Linked DNA regions of Coturnix japonica. The protein of the gene in region 2 interacts with the protein of the main gene of each other region in a pairwise test. Links are inferred from orthologs where the notes say so. Each region holds a gene or a part of one and is shown on either strand. Other genes may lie near its edges. The genes, in order: PPP1R3D, EPM2A and PPP1R3C.

Region 1 (6,416 bases), on a different chromosome or scaffold from region 2:
ATCTTGAGTGTCACAGGAAGCCTGAAAAGAAAGAATATGATGTTATTACAAAAGCTGACATAAACTTTGTACCCCTCTTCTATGAAAGAACTGCCATGATTTACCTTTTCATTGGTACTTGGGACATTTTTGCATAATCTTCCAGGTGATTTCACATGAGAAACTGATTTCTTTTCTCCTTTGGTGCTTGGGTGGCTTTTTCCAATACTGTAATGATCAAGGATTAAACACAGTGTCACACATTAATAGAAATGTTTGTGATCATCAGAATAGAAATGCAATAAAAGTTTCAAGAAGAAAGAGTTGGTTGCAAATAGTCTTAACATTTGTAGTAACTATGCTTTTGCTTTTTATACAGCTACTATGATACTACATTTTTAATACCACTACTGCAAAATACATAAATAAATTAGACAATATATTAAGAGAGCTTAGCCTTCATATAGAAACTTCCATCAGAGGATCCCAAAGATCCTTTTGGATATAATAAATAGTAAATATTAATTATTAATTGAGCTAGCATGGAATACTCTTGGTCCCAGTGCACTTTAACAAAAGTAATTATACAGTACAATAGGAATGCCACAACAAATCTTGCTTGCCTTTTTCATTTGCATAGTCTCAATAAAATTTAAACCATTATTCTTTAGTATTTAAAAATATGCATTTTTTAATCAAATCAAGAATTTAGAAGAGAGTGAAGTTTTCTGCCTCAAGCAGTACCGCAGTCACCTCTGTCACTTTGTGACCTGCACAGTCAGAGCACACACTCATTTGTGTTGCTGCAGATTGGAGAGGAGGATGAGAATTTGAACTGTGCTGTCATGCACTTATCACCTCTTCTACAGTACTTTCTATAACTAGAAGGAAAGAAAATAATGTCCTTACTTTACCATTCCTTTGTGGTTTTCATTGATTTGGCTTTCCTTTTTCTGTGCCTTTTGGTGCAGTAATAAAGGATGTTCTTGAATGCCTGGTCCCATTATTACACTTTTAAAGCGGTATCTACATCTTTATCTTTACATAATCCTCCAATGGCTCCATTCTTTCTGATCCACACAGCACAGCGTGCCAAACTCAAACATCACCACATCCTGAACATTCAGTGAACAAAAACCACGCAACATGATTATTAAAGCAGAACAACAAACATGAATTAGCTACCAGATGGCACCGGGATGCGCCGTCCCATCCCTTAGCAGTCACATATTCATCTCACTAAGGCCGCACACAGCGCTCAGCACCAGGTTGGCCAGGAGTGCTGCACAGCGCAGTGCTCACCACCAGCTGTAGGGATGCAGCACTGCAGCGACATGAGCTGGGCCAGCACTGCTCAGCACACCCAGCACCCACCGTGTTGCTAAAGATACAGAAAAATATATGATGTGCAGCAGCAATAGGGGAGCTGCTTTTCACTGCGCACTGAGCCCTGCATGTTGCTCTGCCTGCAGTGCATTGAGCGGAGCCAAGGGGTGTTTCTGCATTCACATATGTACACGTATCAGATGCTTTGCTGTTCTCCCAAACCAAACCTCTCGCTGCTCATCCATCCCCACTAAAAACAGCCTCAGCAGAGCATGCAGCATTCCTTCATCTTCCAGAAACCTCACTCCCCTCCCGGGGCTGCACAATACAGTTCCCAGGAGGTGACAGATGTTCCGCACCTCTCTACACCCACCCTCAGTTTTGTTGCAGTTCTATAGATAGATTTAATCTTTAGATGCGTTCCTATTATTCACGTTTATTTTGACACAGTCCTGTTTCTCACTGCTGCTCTCCCCAGCACAAAGCCCAGCAGGACACACTGCCTGTTTCCCCATCGATTCGGACCTTGGGGGTCCAGAGCCGCACGGTCCCACCAACCCCTCAGCACCACCGCCCCCATCCCGCCCGTACCTGCCTTCCTGCCAGCAGCCACCGGCATTAAGGGCACCCCAAGGCAAGAGACGTCAGGCGGCGGCTGCGCATGAGCCTGGGGCGGAGCGTATTGGCCGTTCATTTTGATGGGCAGGGGGGCGCGGTGTGGGCGGGGATGGTCGAAGTTCCGGGCAGGCGCTGTTAAGCGGGTTGGGCGTGAGGGGTCTGTGTACGGCCGGGCTGGTGCTCGTGCAGCTGGGCACTGATGTGGGCTGTGCAGACCCCGGCTGCCGATCCCTCCCCTTCCAGTCACGGTACCGAGTCCGCTACCCCGGCCCCGCCCGACAGCCTCCTCACTCCCTCCAGCCTGTGCAGCAGCCTCAGCTCCGGCTCGCTCCCACCCGACAGCCTCCAAGCCTTCCCCGGCCTCTGCAGCGGCCGCGAGTCGCCCAGCATCCAGTGCGACAGCCTCGAGTGTCCCGGGTGCCGCTGCAGGAGCCTGGGCTCGGTCAGCCCCTGCGAGGACAGCCTGCAGGTCCGGCTCGCGGCGTGTAATGGTCCGGGCTGCTTCGGGGTGCACCGCTGCAGCCCTCACGCACCCCGCGATATCAGTGACAGCCTGGAGTCCTTCGGCAGCCAACACGACAGCCTCCAGTCCGTCCCCAGCCTGTGCGACAGTCTGCGGTCCTCCAGCATTGCGGGTGACAGTCTTGAATCTCTTTCCAGCCTGAGCAACGGGTCCACCAGCCTGGAGTTCACCAGCCAGTGAGTCTGTATTCAGCTTCCCCACGCAACACTCCAGGCTCTGCTTTGCTCTCAGCTGCTGTGAGAGCTGCCTGTTTTCTGCCTTTCTTTGCAGAAGGCCAAGTTGTTCCAGCTTACTCTTCTCGAGCCAGGGCAGTATCCTCAAATCCTCACTGTGTGTGGCTTTTTCCCAAGTTCCTTTAAAGAGGCAGCGCTTGGCACCAGCAGTGTTACCATCAGCACTGCCATCAGTGAAGAATGGAGGTGCACGGTCCTCGGAGGAATCGCAGCTACCTGTCTGATCTCTATGAGAACATGCTGCGGGCACAAGGGGCACCAGGACAAGGACAGCAGCAGCCCTCGGTGGTACGTCCAAGCAGCAGCCCACATCTTGTGAGCCATACCCCAGTCAAGGCGGCGACCCAGCCACATCAGCCTCAGAGCAGCACTTCCAGCAGCTGTGATCCAGCACTGCGGCCTATCATCCGCCGCCGAGCAAGGTCTTTGCCTACGACACCTGAAAGAAAGAAGCGAGTGCAGTGTCAAGCTCCTGTGTGCCAGAGCCGCATGAACAAGGTGAGATTTGCTGATGCTCTGGGCTTGGAGCTGACTGAAGTGAAAGTCTTCCAGAAAGGGGAGGATCCTTCCATCCCCCTACACGTCCTTTCCAGGCTCTCCATAAACTCAGACCTCTGGTACAGCAACTTGGAGTTTACTATGCAGTGCTTAGTCCCTGATTTCCAGCAGCCTGCAGACAGCGTGGATTTCTCTGCTCGACTTCAGGAGCAGCAGGTGTGTCTTGAACGAGTGACCAGTTCAGATCTGGGGGTCAGTGGCACCATCCAAGTTTGCAATCTTGCTTTTGAGAAACAAGTGTCTGTGCGATATACCTTCAACCAGTGGAAAAGCCTCCATGAAGTGTGTGCTCATTGGCACAGTAGTATCCCTGAGAAAAACGGGCAGGATCAAGTTGATGTTTTCACTTTTTTTCTCCCTGTGCCTTCTTTCCTCCTTCAGCTGTGCTCTGTAGTCCAGTTTGCAGCAAGGTATCAAGTCAATGGGCAGGAGTATTGGGATAACAACAAAGGCAAAAACTACAGCCTCAGTTGCCGGACTCACCCCCTCAAGATGCCTAGAGAATGCGAGGAGAGCTGGATTCACTTCATCTGAATGAAGGAAAGTGGATGCAGAACAGCTTTGCAGTAGTCTCAGCGGCCCTCTCTTCATGGCATGGCTCTGTGCTCCTTATTGAAGCCTACCAAACCTGGCAGTGTTTCACGACAGGCAGGTAGCCAGCAACCCGGATGGACTGTTCTAAACCTCTCAAAGCATAAAGGGCCAAAATGTGTAGAGCTACATCTGTTGAAAGCCTGGGTGGTTTCTTGCAGTGTATGAATCAAGGCAGAATGGTTTAAAGGGATCCTTTCAGGCTATTTAGCAGAGATCAAGAGAAGACACTTTATGTTGCTAGCAATATTCTAGATTGCATAGATTATTTCTAACAGATCTATTTTACTATTTTGTACTGCCTGTTTTTTAAAATGGGCAGTGTAGCTTTACTGTTTTCATTTCTAATTTTGTTTGTATAATCACACCTAGTCTGGGCACTGCTCCAGTTACACACCATTTGCATGGCAGACACTGTAGGGAAGCACTTGCATATATAATTTTTTAAAGACTGTTACTGCGTTAAGTATTTCCATTAGCTTTGGAGTTGGAAAGTAAAGAAATGTTATTATGAGCAAAACCTGCATGAAAATTTCCCACCAGCCCCTGTTTCCCTTTTTATTATTGTTATTATTAATTTCAAGTGCCTTATCTCCACTGTTTGCTGTAGGCAGGGGGAGTGATTGTTACCAGGGTGTAGAAAGGTACTCTGGTGCTTTGCAGGGAAGCTCTCATCTTGTTCACCTGATTTACCATTAGGCTTTTCCTCCAGGTGGTGGTGCAGGAGTTGTCCTTCTGCGGCTGCATTTACTAAGGAAAACTAAAGAAATTTTGCACTTGAATTACACTTATGCTCTTACACTCATACTTGAAATAGGTAAACTTGTAAATCAAGCAGATGTGAGAAAGGAAAGACAATACACTGAGCTTGTTACAGATCCTCGCAGTAGGATTCTAGAACTCTGAATCCTGGCTCCCTGTTTCCCAACATCTCACTGCCATTGCAGAAGTAATTTTTGAATGCTCTTATCAGCTGCTTTTGATTATAAACCAGCTGATCTCTAAGGCCGTGTCCTTCGCAGCATGAAACAGGAACTTCAAAGCAAAACAATGTCTTTAATGGTAAATTAGTATTAAATGGGTCCTCAGATTATCTTCTACAGCAGCGAAAGCATAGCAGCACATGTACTGCACACCTAATGCTTACTGCTCTGCGACTTTTGTTCTGGGGAATTAGTGTGGTTTGAGATTGGCCACAGGCTTGTGACAGGCTTCAATTTAGTAAGTAAAAGATTGGCCATTTGTTTGTTTTTTTCCTACATACTCAACACTTGCATGCAAAATTTATGGCATAAATTTTCCAGGCTGTCTGGGTGGAATTGTTTGAGCTGCTTTTTGGAAGAACTGTATGATGAAAATCAGGCCTTGTATTCAGACATCTAATTTGAGATTGCTGCTTATTCATCAAAATCACGTGATTTTTACAAACCACAGTTGTAATTAATTCATGGTTGATTATGTGCAAATGCAAAAAGTCCAACAAGTAATTCAGGAAGGAGAAAATTCAAATGTTTGGCAACTTAATATTACTAGTTGGGCTAAATATCAAAGCCAGGATTTGAAGTGAACAGGCTTCCCAGTTCTTTAGCCTTTGGCTTCAAAGGGACAACTGATGAATAACGGCTGTTTGAGCTGCTTAGCACCTCTTTCAAAGTACAGTGAAAACTCAGTTGTATTGGAAAACAACAAATTGTTTATTTTCATTCTATAATTTGGCCGTTTCTGTTAGTGACTGCTGCTTAAGTGCAATTCTGATTTCTTTCCTAAGTAAATGAAACGTCCGCAGATGATGGATTTCCTTTATATAGCTTACATAGCTGTCCAGTGTAGCAGCAGATATGCAAGGTGTACTTTGAATGGCTTGTTTTCAGCAGGATAATTATAAGTTGTTGAATTCAGCTGGGGCTCACAGGGTTTTCCTCTGAAAGCCAACTTCTAAGTATTACTTACTCTTCCTATAAGCCTCCCTACCTTTGGTAATTAATTTTGGTTTTTAACTTGTCTGTATACTGATGGATTACCAGTGGTTATCTGTGGGTAGGGAACAGTAAAAATAATCATTTCTTTATTTGCTTTTTGCATAAAAGAACTTTCATTTTCTACTTAACAGAAAGTGAATGCCAGTGGTGTTTTAATTTCGTTTTGGAGCTCAGTGAGGTCAAAAATTCAAGCTGTAATTGTTTTGAACATAACACAACTGCTCCATTGGGATATTTCATATCTGTTAAGCCTTCATAGCCATTAAGACAGGCAGAACACTTCTGGGATTGGGGTGAGGCTGGAGAGTAATTTATAGCTTTCAGTCCACCTGCATTATTTTCTGTACCTGAGTTAAAGGGGGAACTGTTGAACAATTGAGCAGCAGCTCTTTTGTCATAAGGGAAGGGGAACTGAAACTGCTCTTCCTCATAGGCCAAAAAAAGACAAACAGAAGAGATGGAGCAGTGAAGAAAGGGCACTTCTTGTTGTGCCCTATGGTGGGTTCTGTGTGGCTAAATGACATATGATGGTGTATGACATAACACATCTGAAGTTGTCAACCCAGATGTTCTCTACAGTCAGTAGCAATGTTGCTGGAGTTTGCAGAC
Region 2 (6,177 bases):
CTTTCAAATAACACATTTGAATTCTGTGTGTCACGTACTAATCCTTACTTGCATGCTCTGCTTCTTAATGCCTTTTCTGTTGTCACTATTCTGTCTCCCCCTTAGATGCAGAAAACAGTAGGCATAATTCTATTTCTTGTATTGCTGCAATACGTAATAATGCTCAAGAGAAAATTGTTAATTTGCCACACTAGCTCACTAACTCCTTGTTCACGCCTGGTTTGGTTTTCAGAAACGTTTCCTTGCACGCGCTAATCCCCTAAAAGTATCCAAAAAGCAGAAGACCATTTCATGGTGAGTTTATTTTCTATGAAACTAAAATAGTGATGATTCAATTTCTCATTCTGTGGACTAATATACATTACCAACAAAATAAGTTTGAAATCTTGTCAAAATCCAGATTTAATTCAAGATTTTTTTAGCCTATTATCCTACCCCTAAAAACATTCCTTTTATAGATTCTAATTACACTAACATTACAAATAAGCGGCCTACAAGAAAGCCCTCTTCAGCACTTAATGCTGTTTATCAACAAGAACTTTTTTTTTAATGAGAAAATAAAAACTTTCTAAGGCAACTTTCAGAAACATCTGTTGTATTTCTCTAAGACTGCTTAAGCACAGGTGTTTCACAGTGGGAGCTGCAGCTATACTAAGGACTTATAGCCAAATGTCCAATCTGATGATATAGACTAAGCCACAGAAACGCAGCTCGAAGGCAATTCAGATCATGAAATGAATGCTCTTTTCATATGGTGGAAATAAGAACAAATGCAAAGATAAAATAATGGATGGTAATAACAAAATACATAATGTAGAAGTCTTACCAACTGCTCTGAAACTCCATATGGTTTTGTACTGTATATTACTGTTTGCTACTTAATAACAAACCAGAAAAGATCACTAAATTAAAGTCAGGAAACAAACTATATCTAGACTGTAACTATGGCAAAATCTTAATCAAAAGATTATCCCAGTTACCTATTTTTCTACTGCTCAGTGCTTTTCAACACTGAAAATAAATTATTGACCCATACTAAATTCTGCTGTCCCTTAGAAGTGAGGAGAAGGAGTGGATAGCAATAAGTGAGGCATCTGCATAATCAATACATTTATTTCATCATTATAACCACAAATGTTTAATAGCCTTTCACAGCAATCAGAGTTGCCCTGCAGTTGTCACTGTGGGTAGGGATGACACATACCTGTCCAATTCATGTGTATGGATTTGGCAAATACCATTGCACATGCTTATTTTCACTCTTCTAATTTTGCAGTTTCTCGGGCAACTCTCCATTGCTTTATACATCTCCAGTCGACTGCTCAGCTTAAGTTGCTTAATGCTGACATACAGACAGAAAGGAAGAAAAACCTTGTTACTAATCATGTCATTATATGTGCTGAGGGAGCTGAAGAACAGAAGACCAGGAGCTACTGTACTTTGTAAACAAAAGCTTCTCTCCATTCATTATGCTGTATTCAGAAGCAGGTTTCAAACTTATTCAGTTTTGCTCATAGCAAAGTTCCCTCGCAGCTGAAAGGTTCTCGAGCACCCAGTACCACACAGGATGCAACAGGCTCACACAATTATTCAGCTATCAACATCCTACTGCACTTTTTGTTCCTTCCTAGACATTATCTTCTTTAGAACAGGACTAGAATGGAGGAAGGAAATAAAACCCCGTGTTATTTTCAAAAGCAGAACAGATGATGCTGGACTAAATACTGATGAGATTTGCGAGCAGTTGCAAGAGAAGCAGCCCCTGGCTGTACACAGCTATACACAGGTAAAATGGCGACACCCAGTGGGAGCAACGCTGCATAAAGCAGCTCCATTAAAAGGGCTGAAGAAACGTTAAACAAACTATTAACAAATCAACAAATTTCCCTTTCCACTTAATCTACGAAATTAGTAGCCAAAGCCAAAATAAAGAGAAGCTACACAGACACTGAGCCACAATCCCCTACAATGGACCATACCAAGGTCAACATCCACAGCCAGAGGCTGCTTCTAAATTGAACTGAAGACTCCCAAGGAACCACAGAGAACCATCTGCCCCCAAAGTAATGTTTGTTATGTGAACATGGATCAACATTTACTTTCCCCTCCTCAAAAGCTCAGGTACCAAGAGACCATATTGCATCATCTCAGAACAGTTTGGGGCATACCCTTAATATCTCCTTTGTTGTTCAGTGGAACATTTATCTTGCATAGTACCTACAGTTTATTTGGACCACAGACTGAAAGAGATGTATAAATCCAGTTCTAAAGAATCTACACCAAAAACAGATTACAGAAATACAGAAAGGATGTTGCTGAAAAGAAGATAGCATTGATATTCCCTTATTATTCTATTGGGTAAAATTCTTCTAGACTCTGAAGCTCAACATCATTAACTGGTTTTTGATAAATATCACACACTTAATCTTCCTGTATTTCAGGCCTTTCAGCTGAACTCACAGCAGGTAAGCAAAGTACCATTGCCAAAGAAACATTATTTGGACCACAGCACATGCAGGAATCACAATGTGAGCCCAAAGGGCCCGATGGCTTTAAGGCACAGGCCCCAGGTGAGCACCAGCATCAGTGTCATCACCTCGGGTCACTGCAAGCATCTGACCCTTTGGGGAAACAACAGCCTCCTCTCCCACCTCATCCTCCTACCGAGAGGAACCAGTTCCCCTCAAGACACAGGACACAAGCCACCAACCTGTCACTCCCTGTGACAGAATCATAGTATCATTTGAGTTGGAAGAGATCCTTAAAGGCCATCTGGACCAACTGCTCTGCAGTGAACAAGAACACTTACAGCTTGAGTAGGTTGCTCAGAGCCCGTCCAGCCTGACCTTGAGTGTTTCCAAGGTCTGAGCTCCCACCACCTCTGGGCAACCTGAGATTGGCTGCTTAAATACACACCCCGAAAAAGGATGAGGAGTAACTGCTCTATAACGTGCTATTCTCTACACGGATTACAAAACTGGATAAAAACGTGGTGAATTCTTTAATCATCCGTCTTCTATTCACCAAGTCTGATCCTTTCCTCAGTGAGGAGAGGTGAATTTCACAGAATTGTAGGGGTTGGAAGGGACCTCTAGAGATCATCGAGTCCAACCCCCCTGCCAAAGCAGGCTCCCTACACCACGTCGCACAGGTAGGCGTCCAGGCGGGTCTTGAATATCTCCAGAGAAGGAGACTCCACCACCTCCCTGGGCAGAATTTACAGCTTCATACTTCTGTATCTACAACAACAGCTCGTAGAAACTGACTAAAGTAACTGAGCTCTTAAGAACACAAGAGAGAAAAGCAGCCCCCGCAGCCCTGCCTGGCCCGGCCCGCCGCGTCAGCTGCCAGCCCCACCCCGCTCCGCCCGAGCCCCGCCTTTACCTTCCCATAGAAGCTGGCCGCCCTCCCGCCGCAGGAACTTGTACCAGAAGGGGCTGGCTGTGTCCTCGTCCGGCAGCAGCACCTCCCCCAGCCACAGAACCGGTTCCTGGGCCGCCAGCGCTGCGCTCGGCCGTGCTGGCTGCATGGGCACGGCGCGCTGCGGGTCCCACTCGCCCAGCTCCGGCCGCGAGCCGGCCACAAGCAGCGCACCGCCGCACTCTGCGATGCGGGCCGGCAGCACCACGCCGAAGCGGAACAGCATGGCGAGCTGTACCGGGCCGAAGGCGGCAGGGTATGGGGTGGGGGGAATGAAGCCGTGCCGCCGCCAGGGGCCGCCCCGCACCCTCACTTCCGGAGGGGGGACCGGGGCGGGCGGGGCGCTCCGGCTGGGGCTGTGCCTCGCTTTGGCTGCCCGCTGAGGGCATGGGATGGGCTGCTCGGCAGCACGGCCTCAAATGTCAGAGTTCAAGGAGTGTTTGGACATTGCTTTCGTAAGGTTTGATTTTGGGAGGTGCTGTGTGGAGCCAGGGTGATTCTTGTGGGTTCCTTCCAACTCGGGCTATTCAGTGCATCCGTGACTATTATCCCAGCAGATAACTAATGAACTGAGATTGCAAAGGGTTGCTCGTTACGTATATTGACTTTAGCGAGCATTACTGCTTTGTTCAATGAAGCTGCTGCAATTAGTCCAGAGAGACTTAATTTAGTGCTGCAAACACCTCATTAAATCACTGCTATACCTGCGGTGTTACAAACAGCCTCAAGGTTTGGTCCCAAATAACGTGCTTAGTGCTCAGGACAGTTATACCTCCTCTGTAGGCAGGGAGATGCCAGCCATGGTGAGACCAGGAATGTGAGGGACTGGTGGGGGCAGCAGGTGGTAGACAGCTCTTCAACAATTCTGCTGCTCTCAATTGCCTGCATTCTAGCTTGCCCTTCTGGCTGTAATTTGGCAGCTCCTACATGTAGCAATATTCAGGGCTTGCAAAGACTGAGGGAAAGGATGCGATCCAACCATTTATAGGACGGTCCTTGTCTGAATACACCCATTTCAGAAGCGTTTAAAGACAGAAACAGAGAAGTAGTAACTTTATTTAGGTCAAGTTCTGGGAACAGGATGAAGGCCTTTCAGTGAGTCAAAAGAAATCCTGCTTCAAAAGGTGGCTGCTTGTTTCCTGTGTTCGATGGCGATGACACACTGAAGAATATGTACTGCCAAATGTATTTTTAAGAATGCTTGAGCTCATTTTCACTGATCCCAATTCAACTTTTGTAAGTGATATGCCACCTCTGTTCCAAACATAACCAAAGTGAAGGGGATTCTGGCAGCCCTCCCCCTAGCCCTGTTGCTTTTGTGGAACAAAGCAACACATTTTAATCCTTGTTTTTGCTCGACCTTACAGTCAAGTTACCTGCAACCTGTCTCATAATTATCCATCAAATATCTACCCTTGTAGCATACACTTTCATTTTAGTATTAAGGGCAGTACAGAGAGCGATGGTAAACTTAGATTTTCTACCTCAAGCGTGGCAGTAGTCCTAAAAGCATCTTGTGTCTACATAAAACCCCAAAGAAGTGGTGGAGTCACCATCCCTGGAGGTGTTCAAGATAAGGGTGGATGTAGCAGTGAAGGATGTGGGTTAATGGGATAGCGGTAGCAGTTGATGGCTGGACTGAATGACTTAGAGGTCTTCTCCCACCATAATAATTCTGAGATATGCAACTGTTCATTCCAGGCACCGTTCGAGCTAAGAAGCTGCAGGATCCAGTAGCGCATCTGATAATTTAACTCCTGGCTGTTGTCTAAACCTTAATGTAAAAAGACCTGCAACACATATGTACCTTTAAAAAAAAGCTTCTTTATGTGTCAAACCCTCATTATAGACCTGCAATAAAAACTATATTTTCAGTCTTGTGCAAAATATTAGCGGTTAAATTAATTGTCCATTTCTTCTCCATATTTCACCATGATCCGTTTTGTACACACCAGCATTGGGTGCTGGATTAAGGTTAAAAATAGCACGGAGTGACATGCTCGAGTTCCTGCAGTTTTTATTGTTGAATAGTTTTTATTGATGAATACTACCAAACTGTGAAGTGTAGACAGGATGATATGGGTCTTCATTAGATCTAAGACCACGCAAACAAGACTATGTAAGTACCATAAGGTTTGGCTCCAAGCTCAGAAGTAAATGGTTCGCTGCGAGCTTTACGTAGTCTATGGATTTCTCATCTCTAAACTGGTGTTTTATATAAGAACCAAAGGATGAAGGGGCAATAGGGAGCTTACACGTGCTGCTGTGTAGTTGAATATTGCAGGAATTGAAGAAATACTTTCACTTCTGGGCCATTGCTTTAAGCCTAAATTCCTAAGGAATTAATGATAAACCAATTTCCTTTGAAAAAAGCCTTATCCTCATACCGCATGACCAGCACTCTGTCCCTGCACTCCTCAACACTGTTCTTAAACCTAAAAGCCTTTTCTGTAAGCCAGTCATCTTTAACAGCCACAAATGTAAACAGGACGATTTCCTGGTTTTGCTATATTAAGTCCCATTCCAATAAGCATGCCTTTCAGGTCCAATCAAAAAGCTCTGGCATAAAGATGCCCAAACCCTACTAATTAAATTGCTTTTAGCTGTCCCAGAAGCTGTTGTTTTCATTCATATGGGAATAAACTACCATCTGAGCGCACCATGGCCCATCTGATTCTGGTAATTGATATTGTGCCTTTGTGTCCTTGATGGCACTATAGGCTGTAGCATTAGACTCAGAGCTGCAGCTCTGTGTGC
Region 3 (6,409 bases), on a different chromosome or scaffold from region 2:
GACCACTCAGTGTAGTCTATACACTAACCTTGGCTTCAGCCTTTACTTTTGGCATGTACAGTGACTTTGTTTTTTTAAAGGCACATTTTTCTTTTAACATTAGAAGGTAACCATCAGCCTGACAAGCGAGTAGAATGATGAAGGCAGAATTCGAGGTTAGATTTGATCTTAATGCAAGATATCCATTTTTCCCGAGGCCAGTGAGGTCAGAGATGCCTTCCCAAAGTCACTTCCACCACTCGCTTTGCATTATTTTCTGTATTCTTTTTAATTTCATAAACTTTTCCTTTATTTAGAAAGCCAGCTTTGAAGACAACATCAACACACTGTCTATCTCCAAGTTAGGCAGCACATCTTACCTCTTCCCCTTCTCCTACTTTTCCATTATCCTCTCCAAATTTCCTAACCTTTATTGAAACCACAAATCTTAGCCATGCAGTCTTACCTGCTACTGCTAAAGCACATAGGTCACTGCAAGCTTTAGTCCTGAGAGCACTGCCTCAGCTCTGCTGCGCTAACAGGCACAAAATGGACTTTGATGTTCTGCTCCTGTGACAGTTCTGTGCACACACACTCACACACAGTTGCTACAGCTTGCTAAAACACTGTCACCTTCCACAGTCTCCTGCCTAATGACTCAGGAGAGACAACAGCAGAAAGCACACAGCATATACTTAAGATACAGGCATGCTATTTCTAGTAGGTGGTATACACACGGGTTTTATCTCGTTTGTCTTTCTTTCCAAGGATAAGTTTTGGCTAAGAACTTCAAGAACATAATATGGCTTAACGAGACTGCTGAGTTTGGAGTTGTAAAGGCAGCCACACCTGCCGGGTGGTTTTGTTATATAGTTCTGTGAACCAGAAAGCTAACACTGGTTTGCTGCCAAGTGGAATAATATTTCCAAGCTAGTGTCTATCACCAATATGGTGATGAATTTTCAATCCCACCTGAGCTCTGCCACTGGGGGAAGAGGCCACTGGACAGCCTTGGGCTGCCGAGCTGATCGGGCTCTCTCTCTTGCCCTTTCCTTGGAGCTGGAACATCAAAACAGTCCTTTGTGGCAGATGGTATCCGAACACCATCAGATTTCCACTCTGCATGGAGAATCTTGTAGTTCTGCCCCTCATTATTGTCCCAGAAGGTACGCTCGCCACTTTGGTAGGAAATGCAGAACTCAATTTTCTCTTGAGAAGGAATGGCAGGAGGCAAGTCAATAGTAAATGAGAAGGTATCATTTTCAGAATCACCATAAACATTGTTCATGTACACACACTCAATGTCCGTGTAAGTCTTCCACGTATCAAAGGTGATTCGAACCTGAACCTTCTTCTCAAAGCTCACATTTTTTACTTTCACAGTGCCTGACAACACCTTCTCTTGTAGGCTGCAGTTCTCCAGGCAGACCAAGTTCCTCTGCAGGCGGTTCCTGAAGTCCAGGTAGTCAGCTGAGGGACGAGGGAAATCCAGAATCAAGTTTTTCTCCTCGTGAAGCTTCAGGTTAGACGTTATGTTTTCGAGACTTATAAGATCAAACTGGAGATCCCAGCCAGGGTGCTCCTGGAACTCTGAGAAGGTGTGTATTGCCGTCAGGGAGAGCCCCTTTGAGTCTGCAAACACAACTCGCTTCTTGGCTCGGGCTGCTGAGTGGTTCCAGTCACTCTTCTGTGCTTCAGAATCACGTTTCACATGGAGACAGGGTCTGAGAGGTTTGAATTTGTTCACAAAGTTATTTCTCTGGCAGCCCTCAAGGGGGCTGAGGAAGCTCTTCAGTGGAGGTGAATGAGCTAAGCAGATTCTCATGGCCACATCCACAGGCATGATGGAATTTGGCAAGGGTCTCGGATCTAAGATCTGAATCATTCTGAAAGGAGCAGAAAGACAGCATATTATTATTTGATACATTGGGGAAAAGCTTGTTAAGAATGCATATGTGCTTCATCTGCTGTCTTAATTATTCACAACCTGGTCTTTGCACAGCTTTAAATAATGCAGCCTAAATTAATATTGACAGTTCAAGAGAGGAAAAAGAATGAACATACTGTCATTTCTTTACAATTCTGCAGTCTTTCAATACGAATGTAATTTGCTTTTTCCAAACCTCTGAAACATGGATTTTAGAAACAGCTAATAAAGCACATCCTAATGTACCAGTACAAACAGATCCACCTGCAGTGAAAGTGCTCATCCACTTCAATTTCTTTCAGTGACTGTGAGCCTAGTCTTAAAAATCTAACAGGGTGGATCAGCTGCTGCACCCGAGCAGACAGCACTAGAGTAATCAAGTTACCTGTCCCAGCTTGGCTTTGGTTAAATCAGTTTTGAGCTATTAACCCAGGTCTAGTTAAAAAAGCTGGTTTGCATTGTGAGCATTGCTGAGTAAGTGGGGGAAAGAATAAAGGAGCTGAAGGAGAATTGTCTTCATCTTGTGTTTTGAGTAACGTATTAAAAACATTCCATTCCTTATATTCCCCAAAGTCCATACCTAATGCAAGCATTTCATAAGAATGCTACAGCTTTCTTTGTTTAGATTTGTTCCTAAACCTGACTCTCAGACGATGAAAACCACGATTATTTTACAAAATGCTCTCAGAAATATGACTGGGGTTTTGGATGGTCCTACAAGGAGCCCACAGTTGGACTCTGTGGTCCTTGCAGTTCACTTCCAACTTGATGTACTCTGTAATTCTATGACTCTGAAACCACGGTCGGTTAGCAGTATTTGCAGAAGGGGCTCCTACTGCAGTGCATCTCTTCTGGTAAAGATCCAATCCTTGCTGGAAATATGGAGTTCTGTTGAGTCATGGGAAGAAAGAGCACTTGCTTTGTCACTTAAATAAATGGCATTCTTCTTCCCAGTGTTCTCACTGGTATTCCAGAGCACTGCCAAAAAAAGCAGAATCTGCACTGACCTCTTCGTTCTTCTTGCTTTTTTTCCCCCCCTTTCTTAAGCTATGGCAGCATTTACCATAATAGGTAGTGGAGTACTGGCATCAAATTTATCAAGTTTTGTTTGGCTTTTAGCAGCATCAGTATTGTATTCTCTCTAGTTTCCATGACGAGCTCCATAGGCTGCTGCTCATAACGTTATACAACATTAAAAACAAAACAAAAATAAAGGGCTACGCTGCTAGGAGAGGCAAAAATCTGCCAGCAAAAGATGATAGAGTTGAGCAGCATTCACAAGGCACTATGCAAGCGCTAAACGCTTCTACAAGCCTGATAAAAATCAAAGTAGCGCAGTGCAAAAGTACATTCCCCCAAAGGATGAAGATTTTATTCCCCCCTCCCCTTTACTTACTTCCTTCTGCGGGGCTGGAAGCGCACGCTAGAACCGAACCGACCCGAGGGAGAGCAGCCGCAGCGCGGGCAGCGGAGCCAGCAGCGCTCACCTGCGGCCGATGGCGAGCAGTGCGGGGCGGTTACTCCGCAGCCCCCTCGCTCCGCTCCCTTTATGCTCCGGGCTCGGTCCTGCCCCGGGGCGCGGCGCGGCGGGGCTGTGCGTGCCGGGGGGCCGCGTGGGGGGGGGGGAGGCCGCTGTTTCTCCACGTGGTCACGGCTGTGGGGCGGGCGGTGCCGAGTGCCGCCCCCTGGGGCTTCGGTGGTTGTTATTGTTCGGTCGGTGCGATGCTCGGCGCGTGGTGCTGCCGTGCCGTTGCTTCCTGCTGCATCCAGGGCTCTCCTCTCCCCATGCCCACCCCTCCCCCCCCCGCACATCCCGCAGAGTCGTTTCCAAAACTGCTGTGCTTTAAATAACTTGGATATTCTTGCCCCTGAGAGCCCGAGCTTTGCTGTGTTGGCTGTACGCGGTCGACAGTGCCGGCTGCTTGTCTCACAGCGGTCTTTGCAATGGGGAGCTCTCCTTTGTCCCGATCAGCCTGTCTGCACCTCTTGCATCCCTTATGGGGGTGACGTGGCCTCGGTACGGCTCGGGGGTGGCTGGAGCTTCAGATGGGGCTCAGAGGTAGTGGGCCTTTGCCAGAGCTAGAAAAGCAAATGGGTTTGCTCTACAAGACTTCCAAGAGAACACTTTAACGTGTCAATGTGGGGCTTCTTCCTGCTGCTGCTTTAGCAGGACACTACCTAACAGAACAAGAGTAACACCAGCTTGAAACTGCAGACTCAGATTTGACTAAAAAGAGCTGGATACTTGTGTTGCCAGGGCCTGAAGTCTGTCATCCTGGGCTATACTTGGCCTTGACTGAACTGACAAAACTGGAGGTTTCTTTTGCATGGTACTATTGGCTGTTCAGCTCCACACACAGCAGTGTGAGGGTACTGGAGGTCCTGCTGTACTTCCCACGTTGTAGCTGTTAGCTATTTCTAGAGCAAAGGGGCAGAAAGCAGTAGCACGCGGTCTCTGCAGTGTGACGACAGTCACACCATCACTGCCTGCCCCCACAACTGTGTGAGCCTGGTGTGGCTGCATGGTTTCACTGTCACCTTCCTGCCCACTCTCTCCCAAGTGCAGCCCTGCACTCATGATACTGAGTATGTGAGCTATTCTGAGCTTTTATCAGTAGATGAGTTCTGTGCACAATGCATGACAGGAAGCACTATGCTCTACATGGAACAAAAGGGACTTATGGTGAAGAAGAATAGAAGATAATAGGATTTCTCTGGCTCATCCAAATTGTTTTTCTTTACATGGTTTGTGAATGAAAGGCTCTATTGCTGTGCATGAGAGGTTGTTAGGAGACAGCACTTAAGCACAGGCCAAGGCATGGCAGGCGAAAAGATGCCTTCCTCTTGGATTAAGGCTGTGTAGTAGCAGAGAAACAAACAGCCCTGAAAGTGCTGGAGGGAGAAGTCTCCTCTAGTGACTGAAGTGTGGCACACAGACCCATACACTGCCTCTGTGTGTATAATGAAGGCATTCATAGGGCAGAAAGGCTTCAATTTCTTAGCAAGACTCTTGGTGACTGAAGTTCCTGCCCTTTCTGCCAGTAGGTGACATTAAACATCACCTAGATGGAGCCTGAAGCACTACCTGGCAGCAAAGGCAAGGACTGGAAAGGTTCTGGCCTGTTCCCTGGTGCTATCAATTCAGGATGACCTTCCCTAATCCTCTGCTCCACATATCACATCTCTCCATTTCCTTATCTTTTTATGACTGCTGGCTCCCTCTCAGTGACAGATGATATTTCCTCATTGTTTGCTTAGGGAATGTACCAAAAAACTGTTCTTCAAGCCCTGCTAGTTGCAGAGTGTGTTTGTGTTGTTGTTTTTTTTTTCTTTTGAGCTACAGATGCTTTTTCCAGGGGTTGAAATTGAGACCCAAGACCCCCAAGGGTCATAAATGAGTGCACGGTTGGCACTTACTAAATATTCTGCATTTTAAAGCATGAGTGAGCAACTCAGGAGAGGTGTTGTGAGCCTGTGCTACTGAAGTTGTGGTCCCATAGAACCACGGGGCCAAGTGGGACCATGTCCACCTGCACCACCCACAGCTGGGCTGTGCTTTCCATGTGCAGGCCACAGATAGGACCTGGGCAGCTGTTTTATTCCAGGCTGATTCACACTTGAAGCCTGCACACGAGCAGTTGTACCAAGTACCCCTTGCTGCACATTTCTACTGCTTGCTGTACTTTTGCCATTTTAAAATGTTTTGTTCCTATTTGGTTTAAATACTCATTTTTTCCTGCCTTATAAAACATTATCAAAGATTATTTAAGGTGATATGCTTAGAAAAAAACAAAGAAGAAAAAACAAACAAACAAACAGAAGAAAAAAAACAGCCAACCCAACAGTAGTGAGATGCAGAACTTTTCATGGACATGCTGTTGCCCAAGTTAGTAAATATGGACTGCACACAGCAGCTCAGTGGCTACTCGGTGACCCTAAGCCCCGTTCATGGCCACAAAGTACTGCCCCAGTTTCTGGTTGTAAGCAGAGAAGGCTGTGCAGAGCCAGAGCTGCTCTTTCCTCACCTGAAGAGATGTCCCTGCTCTAGGCACACAGCTGGGGTTGCCTGAGGTAGTAGAACAGTTTGCACTGCCAGTGATGTTCTTCTGTCTGCACAGAGGACTCAGGTTTCTGGTTATTTTGGTTCAGCGGCTCTCCTGTCATCAGAAGCTTAAAAATGTAGATTTGTCTGCCCATCTCCCCTATCATACAGGGCTGCTAAAATAGGAGCTACTCCAGAGGAAAAAAAAAATCATTGTCTCACTGTGTTGGACGGCACTTGGTGTCATAGCCACTTTCCTGACACTTGTAGGAACACACAGAAGAATAGAGAGAAAAGCACTGCTGGGAGAGGCAAGGGGGTCATGTAAGAGGCAGCTGTACCTCACTGACTCTGTTGCAAGTAAACCAAAACTGACCTCTTGTGCTGCTTCTGTCCCTTTTTCTGAAAAACACTGCATTTTAAGTGTAAAAGCCTAACTGCAATAAATGAACTGTAGTAAA

Evidence for each region.
Region 1: the proteins of EPM2A (region 2) and PPP1R3D interact in a two-hybrid assay, tested with the Homo sapiens proteins (2 studies listed by BioGRID, with this or other methods). The link is inferred for Coturnix japonica from reciprocal best matches to the Homo sapiens genes EPM2A and PPP1R3D.
Region 3: the proteins of EPM2A (region 2) and PPP1R3C interact in binary tests that used the Homo sapiens proteins (3 or more experiments, as listed by UniProt). The link is inferred for Coturnix japonica from reciprocal best matches to the Homo sapiens genes EPM2A and PPP1R3C.

The regions. Positions count from the first base shown.
Region 1 is NC_029535.1:6,069,712-6,076,127, reverse strand, and holds the start of PPP1R3D (protein phosphatase 1 regulatory subunit 3D), read left to right. Parts: upstream 1-2,831; 5' UTR 2,832-2,859; coding exon 2,860-3,771; 3' UTR 3,772-6,416. Other genes in the region: protein FAM217B, read right to left, coding at 1-21, 105-207, 889-983. UniProt on the Homo sapiens protein: Seems to act as a glycogen-targeting subunit for PP1. PP1 is essential for cell division, and participates in the regulation of glycogen metabolism, muscle contractility and protein synthesis.
Region 2 is NC_029518.1:41,847,370-41,853,546, forward strand, and holds the start of EPM2A (laforin), read right to left. Parts: upstream 3,721-6,177; 5' UTR 3,647-3,720; coding exon 3,385-3,646; intron 1,343-3,384; coding exon of another isoform or gene 1,205-1,342; intron 1-1,204. UniProt on the Homo sapiens protein: Plays an important role in preventing glycogen hyperphosphorylation and the formation of insoluble aggregates, via its activity as glycogen phosphatase, and by promoting the ubiquitination of proteins involved in glycogen metabolism via its interaction with the E3 ubiquitin ligase NHLRC1/malin.
Region 3 is NC_029521.1:17,280,591-17,286,999, forward strand, and holds the start of PPP1R3C (protein phosphatase 1 regulatory subunit 3C), read right to left. Parts: upstream 3,468-6,409; 5' UTR 3,304-3,467; coding exon 3,303-3,303; intron 2,885-3,302; coding exon 2,743-2,884; intron 2,727-2,742; exon of another isoform or gene 2,487-2,726; intron 1,866-2,486; coding exon 920-1,865; 3' UTR 1-919.